3 linked regions of the Bombyx mori genome follow. The main gene of each other region encodes a partner of the protein of the gene in region 2 in a complex. Links are inferred from orthologs where the notes say so. Each region holds a gene or a part of one and is shown on either strand. Other genes may lie near its edges.

What was found. Proteins that work in one complex are often made in the same cells at the same time.
Region 1: exosome complex component RRP45 (region 2) and exosome complex component CSL4 share a complex: the UniProt entries of both Homo sapiens proteins name them as parts of the RNA exosome core complex. The link is inferred for Bombyx mori from reciprocal best matches to the Homo sapiens genes EXOSC9 and EXOSC1.
Region 3: exosome complex component RRP45 (region 2) and Rrp40 share a complex: the UniProt entries of both Homo sapiens proteins name them as parts of the RNA exosome core complex. The link is inferred for Bombyx mori from reciprocal best matches to the Homo sapiens genes EXOSC9 and EXOSC3.

Annotation. Positions count from the first base shown.
Region 1 is NC_085132.1:3,512,780-3,516,373, reverse strand, and holds exosome complex component CSL4, read right to left. Parts: upstream 2,272-3,594; 5' UTR 1,911-2,271; coding exon 1,740-1,910; intron 1,344-1,739; coding exon 1,095-1,343; intron 769-1,094; coding exon 523-768; 3' UTR 508-522; downstream 1-507. UniProt on the Homo sapiens protein: Non-catalytic component of the RNA exosome complex which has 3'->5' exoribonuclease activity and participates in a multitude of cellular RNA processing and degradation events.
Region 2 is NC_085119.1:13,155,636-13,159,825, forward strand, and holds the start of exosome complex component RRP45, read right to left. Parts: upstream 2,804-4,190; 5' UTR 2,767-2,803; intron 2,688-2,766; 5' UTR 2,653-2,687; intron 1,561-2,652; exon of another isoform or gene 1,492-1,560; 5' UTR 1,097-1,491; intron 920-1,096; exon of another isoform or gene 868-919; intron 771-867; exon of another isoform or gene 680-770; intron 557-679; exon of another isoform or gene 326-556; intron 214-325; 5' UTR 163-213; coding exon 97-162; intron 26-96; coding exon 1-25. UniProt on the Homo sapiens protein: Non-catalytic component of the RNA exosome complex which has 3'->5' exoribonuclease activity and participates in a multitude of cellular RNA processing and degradation events.
Region 3 is NC_085114.1:14,716,207-14,718,792, forward strand, and holds Rrp40 (exosome complex exonuclease Rrp40), read left to right. Parts: upstream 1-1,266; 5' UTR 1,267-1,345; coding exon 1,346-2,056; 3' UTR 2,057-2,079; downstream 2,080-2,586. Other genes in the region: probable RNA 3'-terminal phosphate cyclase-like protein, read right to left, coding at 1-12, 475-766. UniProt on the Homo sapiens protein: Non-catalytic component of the RNA exosome complex which has 3'->5' exoribonuclease activity and participates in a multitude of cellular RNA processing and degradation events.

The DNA.
Region 1 (3,594 bases), on a different chromosome or scaffold from region 2:
GCCGTCCTTTCTTAAGACATGTGTCCTTACAGTCTGTACAACTGTAACTCATTACCTAACGCTTCAGGAAAAAATAAGCCAATGGAAATGAAAACCAATTATTATGGAAATTAAAATTTTTACAGGTTTGATTTTTATTACATGATGTCAATCCTTCAAGGTGAAAAAAGTACACTTAAACTTTTAGTTATTATGTTTTGTTGCTGCTTGAAGAATGCAGTCCGTGGGAGTAACCCAGAAAAACGAATATGTTAACAAGGCCGCCGAAGCGGTACAGCTGGTGTTCAGGGGTACTACCTTAGACTAAAACCAATGTGCTTGGTTACAGCCAAATTAATACCCAGAGTTTGCGAGTATTCAACAGTCAGCAAAAATTTTTAACCCTTGACTTTGGTAATAGTTTTACTCTCATAATCAACATTCCAAGTTTCAGAAATAGATTAGAGTTAATATAATTTTTTATGAATACATTGTTTGCCTAAAATTTAATAAAATAAAACATGTCTGTAATTGAAATAAAAATTATTTATCAGTGTGATGATTGTCTTGCTTTGAATGAACTGGAAAGAGTGATTGATTAATATTTTCCGGTATAACTCTAGCAACTTTCCTTGGTTCTTTGACTAGAGTTTTAGGGCACTGCATCTCTGACCAGCTTATTGGTACCATGCTGACCCCTTGCGGTGATCCTTCAGCTGTAGCGATAACAACTCCCAGTTCATTTTCTGCAGTCGATAATTGGTACCAGTGGATTTCCGTCATTGGTAACTGAATTCCAGTTTAGGAAAATGATTATATATTATTTAATATTCAGTGAATATAATAGATGTATTTTTCAAGCTTGAGTAGACATAGAGTTTGATGTTATACAAAACCAAAACTGCATTCTATTTTGCAGTATAATCATAATTTCTAAGCAAATGTGACTCCAAAATCCCACAATGCTCAAGTGTTTCATGTGGTAGGCAAACTATAAGGTTAGTACATAATGTAAAGACCCATCTAATGAGTCAAATACAAACAAAGAGTAAGTCATTATTAAAAGTGAAAAGGTTTTTTGAATACTAACAAGTTTATAATATTGTAAAGGATACAACTCTAGCTAGTATAATATCTCCAGGTCTAAAACATTTATATGGATCAACTCTGTCTTTCTCTGTTGCCTTTATATCTTCTTTTTTTAATATTCCTTTGTACATTCTAACAAGTACTGAAGGGCCAACACAGAGGATTAGGCATTGTACAGTTCTTGGATTTACAACTGTTACTTTTGCGGTTACTATGTCACCTGTGTTGGGTAAAACACTTGGTGTTCTTGAACTTTCTACTGAAATTATATTAGCCTAAAAAATTTTCAATCATTAGTTTAATTTATAGGTTTTTTCATTTGTTTCATTTTCTATTTTGTTGAAATAGAATTCTGGGGTGAATTTAGAATTTCATCTGCTATTGCATAAAAAAATATTCTGCTGCTAAAAGAAGCGTCTGCTTGAAATAGTGAGCAAGCCTAAACTAAAGACCATAAAACCGAGTGTCCATAAGTGTCTTCTACAGGCAGTAAATTCCATATGATATACCTGTTAAGCTACAGTACCTATCTTCGTCCATGGTAATGTAGTGTTTTGCAGAGCATATTTATGGGCATTTTAAGTCACAATTAAAGAGGCACGGATGACGGTTGCAATAAAATCGTTTTAGCAATCAGTGGCAGCTTATACAAAGACTGTAACGTTATTTACTTTGGTGTTTTCATCCTCTTCTGTTTTCAAGATTCCAGCTAAAGCCGCATAAATATATCCTTTCAATTCATAGGTTCCCGGCCCTGATACGTTGTCTTTGTTTGATAAACTCAGTCGCATTCCAGGAATACATATTGAACCTATTTCTTTTATTTTTTCTTCCAAATTCATAATGTAGTAGAGGTTAGAATTTACAATTTAACTTGAACTACAACTTAAAGTTCGGTTAGATTATTTTCGTCACAGCTAAAACGTGTCTTTAATTGTAAACTGTCTTATAATAGTGTGTTGAACTGTGTTGTTTATTAATTCCAGTTACAGTTTGTTATTTGTTATGTACATAAGTTAAGATCACAGAACACTATTACTTCTAGCGAAGATAAGATTCTCAAATAAATTAGGTGTATAATCTATGGTTATGATCTTTTTTTTAATCGCGTAGTGAAATCATAGATTATACAAAAGTGCAAATGTTTTTTTGTTCGTTCTTTGATTAATTAAGTAAAAGAAACAAAGTTTATAGAGCTTAATCATTTCGTAATAGAGGGTGACATTTCTTCCATGAAACGTACAACGCAACGAAATCAATTTTTATTTAAATTGTTGAGATGTGACATTCCCTTTGTAAAATCCCGGATAACTCAGTCAGAGCATGAGACTCATAATCTCAGAGTCGTCATTCGAGACCCACGTTGGGCTATTTACATTTTGATCTCAGGTAAGCTTTTCTCCACGTGCCCCTTAGGTGCGAGGACCTTGTAAACCAAGAATAATAAAAATATTTGCGTTGTCGACTGGTACTACTGGAACTAATGTGGATTTACTGTAGATCATTCATTGGTGGTGTGAGCCAGCACAAGCAAATACCAGTACTCTGCCTATTCAATTATTCTGTCACGAAGCAGTAATGCATTTCTGTATGAAGGATGGGGCAGCTGTTGTACTTTAATACTGAGACTTAAAACTCATATCTAGGGATCGATAGTGGCATTAAGGTTACGATGTCTCTGGGTTTTATTTCAGAAAGAAATTATAAAGGACTTGGCTTCTGCCTTAATGATTTTTTTATTTCAGGATATAATATAAATCATATAAGACCTGGCTTCGGCTTTTTTGAAAATTCATTTTAGAAATTATATACAACACACAAGGCTGTATGGGTTTAGATCCCCTTGCCTTTCCTAATAAGGAAAAATTGAATCAAAAAATGTCTATGGGCTCTAGTGACCACTTAATACCAGATGGGCCTGGACTTTGTCTCGTCTCTCACTCGTCTAAATAATTAAAAAATATTGTTGCAGTAAGCAATGGCGTTGCTGGCTTTCCACTTTACTACTTTGACTACTTACCAGGTGGAACGTGTGCTCGTCTCCCTACCACGGAAAAAACGTTAGTAAGGAAGAGGGTACCACCACCACTACCACCAGTATTTGTTTTTCCTCTATTATTTCATCTACTAAAATATCATAATCGACTTGGATGATGCAAAATATTCTCACTTATTTTCGTAAAATCTTACTAGCCATAATAATATATTTTATCTACATAATTAATTACTGATTATTGTTAGTGCTACGATATGGTTCGTGAAAATCTATGTTATACTGACATCTAAGTTGAAATAAATGATTTTTGAACCTTATTTATATTATTAACTCAAAACACTCACAGCTAACATCGTCTTGGCTTATAGGATAAGACATCCGGTGCATTCGTGTTGAGCGATGCACCGGTGTTTCGAATCCCAGGCGGGTACCAATTTTACTAATGAAATACGTACTCAACAAATGTTCACGATTGACTCCCAAGGTGGAGGTATAACATCGTGTAATAAAAATCAAACCCGCAAAATTAT
Region 2 (4,190 bases):
CATTAAAATTTCGACCGTCCAAGCGCTGTAATCAATTTATTTCCAAATTACTTTTGTAGAAGAGTCTTAGGTTATATTCTATTAGTTTCAACTTACATGTCCTTGAGATACGATCTTTTGTATGAAATTCTTTTCACAATTCGATAAACAAGTATCACGCATTTTGTTATTGGTTCATATTTTTTTGTGAATATTCTGTTTAAAGAGGCATACCTAGCAATAAATGTGTGATTATTTTTCTTAGGTTATCTGTTAAACTTTTTTTTTAATTCCACTTGTTCAATTAAACAGGCAAAGGGAATATAGCCTAAAGAACTAAACCAAATGAAAGTCACACCTTTAACTGTTTAATTTAAATTAGCTGTGATTAAATTAAAATGACCTGTCATATTGTGAAAATTTATTGAAACTTCAAAGGAATTATTGTGGATTATGGAATTACTCTACAGCAACTGGTGGCGTTTGCTACATATAGAAATGTACTAGGTACTTCCAAAACCTTTTTGGAAGACCTCGAAAAGTCACGTCCACAGATTTTGTTTCACTTTTTATATAGGTACGTTAACAGATACTAAATTTGAAGCGACATCGAACTGTGAAAATGATACAATTCTGATCATGCGCTCTTCGGCTCCTGGTTAATCCAACCTAGATAAGTCTCGACCTCAGATCTTAATTAATACTTAAAACTTCACGAGAACTGCGTATATTTCACGAGGAGCGTAACAACGTTCCGGAGAGATCCGTACTGTGCTACGGCTCGGACAAATGTAAATATTATAAATATTATATAATAATACTTAAAATGTATATATTAAAAATTTTAATTCTATGATTGATAAAAATTACATTTTGTTCGAACTCTAGAGTAGCACAGGAGCTCAAGTAATATCTGGGGCACAGGTGAACAGATAGGCAGGTACGTAAGCGGCTGACACAAACACAAACTATATAGGCACAAGCTAAGATATGAATAACAACACCTGGGATATGGGCAGAGCTCGAAATTCAAATTGTATTCTATAAACATCTTTCAAACCACCAAACCCCATTAATGTTTTACTGCTAAAATAAATAATATAATTATTTTACTTACCAGTGCTCTCTTACATATTCGATGTGAGCTTAATGTCCCAATTAATACGCAAACTACATTTTTTTGCGTAGATAGGTGAACGAGCTCACGGCCCCACAACCAACCCAGGGAACGCCAGTTAACGATCATAGGTCAGTTTGGTATGATACCTACTAAAAAACACTTAACCATTCTCCGTTGAACCATCCTTAGACAACCTTTACAACACCCATGGGATGAGATGGGGCGGTGCTGCTATTCTATGACACCGCACATACACCGATTTTTGAATTGTAATCTTATTTATGTTAAAATGAACTGCGTAATGTAAAGGTAAATAACCACCGTATTAAATTTTCTAATGGTTTTCTAATGTAAATCATAAGGCATTTGACATAGCATTGACAGAACGCGTGCTGCAAATATGGTAAAAGAGGATGTAAAAAAACTGAATATCGTTTAAAACAAATGCTTCGGTCGGAATTAGGTATATTGATAACATAGATACTTAAGAGCATGTAAAGAATGAATTTGACAGTTTACAGAAAATCGTTGTTTTGCGGACCAATGAACGCCACTACATTTAGTTGCCCACTGAGTTTCTCGCCGGATCTTCTCAGCGGGTCGCGTTTTACAACCGGTGCTACCTAGATTCTGCGAAGCACAGCTCTTGCTAGGGCCAGTGTTGGCAACACTCCCGGCTTGAGCACCGTGAGCCCACCTACACCCTACACGTTAGAGTGAAGCTGAAATAGCCTCTAAAGCTATCACATAGATAGGAAAAAAATACATTCGTTGGTTTCCGGAAATGGGCCAGATTTTTGACTCATATCCAGCAAAACAATAACTGCTTTCAAATGACGTTCTTTGGAGCAACAAAAGTTATTCAGGAAAATTTTATGCCAACTTTCAAGGTAAAGTAATATTGATAAACAATGGACTTTTATCAGCACGTGTCTGATGCAAAATACGTTTGCAAGTTCCGATTGAAGCGGCGTATCAATTGAAAGAGCGTAAAGTAAGTTTGAAGCTCTATGAATTGCCAGAGGCAGCCAGAAGTGAGTGTATTTAAAAAAGTTGATATGGTAATGGCAGTGCTCACAAAGTAGTTTGAGAGCCACGTGGTAGAGCATTATGGATTACCCAATACAATATATTACGTCGTTTTCTCAGGTTCAGATTTGTATAAATGAAAATTCAATAAAATCAATAATAAATAAATTGTAGTATCCGAAGCGAAGCGAGGGCAGGTCGCTAGTCGACTATTAAAATCACACAGCTATTGATTTCGAGTAGAAATATTCAGTCTAGCAAACATAAGGAAGATGCTACCTATCGCAATCTATCTATAGCTAATTTCTGAGTTTATACTGGTCACTATTTTCGGCACATTCTGTTAGGAGTAATGTAAAATTCGGAGAAATTGATTTAGTTGATCCACTGCATGGGAGATCTTCGGCATGATCTTGTACTATCCGCTCTTCGTTGCCCTATGTAGCTTTTTATTGAGTTATTACCTCGTCACGAAATATATCTATATATGCAAAATATCCTATGTCCTGGATGACTATACATACAAATCACAGGTTTCTGCTCGCGTGGTATACGGATCCTTTAGAATGTAGACCTAAGTTTACGGAGAGGCTTTGGTTATGTATTTTTTACCACGCGACCAGCTTTGGAAAACACACCTCACTACACCCAAGAGAAATAAAAAAATGAAAACACGTACAACTCGTACAGTGAGTGCCTTTTATAGAATCACTTACTCCGCGGACCACGGAATAGATAAATAAGGTTATATATAAATATATAAATAACCTTATTTATTATTATATATTTATATATAACCTTATATATAAATATATAATATTTATATATAAGGTTATATATAAAAATATTATATTTATATATATATTTATATATATATATAAATATTATATATTTATATATATATAAATATATAATATTTATATATATAAATATTATATATTTATATTTATATATATATAATATTTATATATATAAATATATATAAATATATATATATATAAATAAGGTTATAAATAAGGTTATATATAACCTTATTTATATATAAATAAGGTTGTATATAAATATATAAATAACCTTATTTATCTATTCCGTGCCGCGGACAATCCAACTCAAGGGTAAAAAACTCTTCTCCACAATATTCTCCGTTAGCATATAGAATTGTTATGTCCATAAGCTACAGTAGCCCTTTTTGCGAGGTGCTCCTTGTACAATCGTGCTATAATTTGACATAACAAAAAAAAAAAAAAACAAAAAAAAATCTTATATATTACATAAACTAACAACCTAGTTTTATATGTAGGTACCTACCACAAATGTGATCACATATGACTATCACCCTAGTAATCAGTTATGCCGACATGCCATTAATGTACTATTGATCATTTTGTAAGAACGAAAACATGAAAGCTTTATGTGGATGATACCTTATAAAAAAACTATATTATTTTGTATTTTGATTGAAGAACCTTTATAGGATGATTTTAGTATTGAAATTTTCTAGTTGCGGCTTTAAGCAGGTGGCCTCTTTGAATTAAAATCGAATCTGCATGGACAATATTCCATTATTGTTTTTTCAAACAAAAACGTTTATATTTTTAATATTGTTGAATTTCTGTATTTTATATAATCTTGTAGCACTAAAAATTGTTAAATTGTTAAAGTAAAAGCTTTTTTAATTTTTTTAATCGCTTAGGTGGGTGGACGAGCTCACAGCCCACCTGATGTTAAGTGGTTACTGGAGCCCATAGACATCTACAAAGTAAATGCGCCACCCACCTTGAGATGTAAGTTCTAAGGTCTCAGTATAGTTACAATGTCTACTCCACCCTTGAAACCGAAACGCATTACTGCTTCACGGCAGAAATAGGCAGGGCAGTGGCACCTACCCGTGCGGACTCACAAGAGGTCCTAGTACCTATATGTATATGCTTTGCTACGGCGTTACAAAAGAAGGCAACCTTATTTACTACTTTGTTAACGACTTACAAAAATGATGTACTGGAAACTTCACAAACCATAGTATTTGCACCAAATTGGCTCGATAAAAAAACGATCGAGTTTT
Region 3 (2,586 bases), on a different chromosome or scaffold from region 2:
CAAGATAATAACCTAAAAAGGTTATTTTTTAATTTCAATTTGTCAGTCCGAGGATGAACATAACAGGAAGTATTTAAATGCTGAGTTAATGTTCAGACCATGGTATGGTTTGATTTAGTTTAGATAGTTACATCAGTCAAGCTGATGTCACTAAAACTACTTTCAAAAACAACCAAGGCGTCCTCACTCTGTCAAAACTTATTTTAGTATTTAAACTGGACTCTCCTAGACGGTTGCATGCCTGACAAAAGATTTATTATCCCATCCTATAGTATATATTAACAATATTTATTATGTCCATGCCTTGCTCCACTGAACTAGACTCTCCATGCTTTTAGCTATCAGGAGAATGTGTATGCTGAATTGTCTGAATTTCCAGCTGTAATCAAACTAATATATAATCTTCTAATTTAGAAAACTACATTCCTAATAACGTATTTGACGTGAGTAGAAACTTTATTGAAGACCACTTACCTATCCCTCTCTGGGTACAACAGTTGTGATTAACTTGTCCACCAATCAGTATACCAGGCTGGTAATATACTGAAGTACCGGTTTCGCTCAGCTCGACTCTAGTACCGTTCGTCACTTTATCCAGTAGCCGAATTAAACTGACTTCATATTCCCGAAGACCCGGGTCATCGTTGGTACTGCGAATGTCTTCTATTTTAATAGCACGCCCACTGAGAGTCGAAAGTAGCAATCTTTGACGAAAGTAATTGCTGCCCTTGTATTTTATTACGTCATTTTCAATTACTGCGGGCATTTTAATATAACTAATACTCCGAATTAGTTTTTCGGTGATATGTAAACAGCGAACATGTGCAAACCTCTAGGCACTGCGAGTTAGTCAACTGTCAAAAGTGTCAAAGTAATAGCAATAGTTGTATTTTTTCATCTAGAAAGGCAAAAGTATCAGACCATATACTATCTTTTAAATATTGTGGTATATTTCTATAGAAAATGATGTGGATGAATGAAATGAAGTGAAGTTAGTTTATTTGACTATGATTACGCAGCTTTCCTAGACATATTATGGTATTCTGTGATGGAACCTAAAGTCAGCATTATTTCAATGGATATCAGAATTACATACATGGGTACTGGTTTCGGCTCAACACATTTAATGTTATCATTACTTAATTTTATTTCCTTCGCCTAAATTTCATTTTTCATACAACAATTAAATGCATAAGATTTAACTGGTAGGTACCTATGCGCTATGTTTTCTTTGCCTATTGGATGGACCAATCAAATCAAATAAACATTGCTGTTTTAGAGGTTAGGGCTTTGTATTTATTTGTGTGTTCATTTATAATTCTCACTAAAATAGAACAAAAATATCATGAACGTTTCAATAGATGATGTAGTTTTACCTGGAGATCACTGTCCAGAGATCGTGGCGGCTGGCGAAAAAGGAAAAGTTCTACTAGGTCCTGGACTTCGCAAAGAAATTAACGGTGTTTTTATAACAAAACCAGGCGTATTACGGAAACGAACACCAAATACATACTGGGTGGACAATTATCAGAAGCGCTATGTGCCTTCTAGAGGTGAAAATGTGATCGGTACCGTGGTACAGAAAGCGGGCGATATTTTCCGTGTGGACGTCGGGGGGAGTTGTGCCGCATCGCTGTCATATCTGTCGTTCGAAGGAGCGACGAAGAAAAACCGTCCCGCAATCAAAACAGGCGATGTTGTGTACGCGAAAATGTTAAACGCAAGCAAAGATATGGAACCAGAGCTTGTGTGCGTTGATTCGCATGGAAAAAAAGGCCGACTAGGAGTATTAGAAGAAGGATTCGTATTCAAATGCTCTTTGAATTTAATCAGAAAAATATTAAACCCACATTGTCCATTATTGAACTCATTAAAGAACGAATGGCCATTTGAATTAGCAGCTGGCATGAATGGAAGGATTTGGATCAAAGCAAACACTATGAGAGAGACATTGGCTCTAGGAAACGCGATTTTGGGCTCAGAATATTTGAGTAACGATGAAATTAAAAGTATGTGTAAGAACATAGCAGTTTTACTCGCAGGTCATGTAAGCTAAAATAAATGAAAAACCTTATTAAAGAAATTTGTTTTCTTTTTAAGAAACTTAAATCATTTAGAAAATCTTCAATTAAGAAAATTTAAAGGTTTCATGTTCTGGGTCCCAGAAAAACCATTTGAAAGGAAAACATTTATAAAGTTATAATATCATACAGAATTTTCACATGTTCAATTTCTAGTGGTGAAAGGAAGTCAGCTCTCAGATTGAACATAAATGAGAGAACCCCCTAGGGAATCCATTTACGGATACCCAGTCGAATTGAGAAAAAAATTCAATGAGAGAACCTGACTAATGTTCAATTGACATTTTGCATATATGTAGACTACAAGCAGATCCCGTAAAGGAAACAAAACTAAAACAGTGATGGAAATTTTATTTTGGCAAATGCTAATCTAATTTTGAAATCTCAATACATAATGAAAACTGCTATGGACATGTATTCAGGACATGTAGCATTCCAATACTTATGACATAAATACATTTCATATTAAATTTGAACAAAGCCACAATATATACATAATACCAAA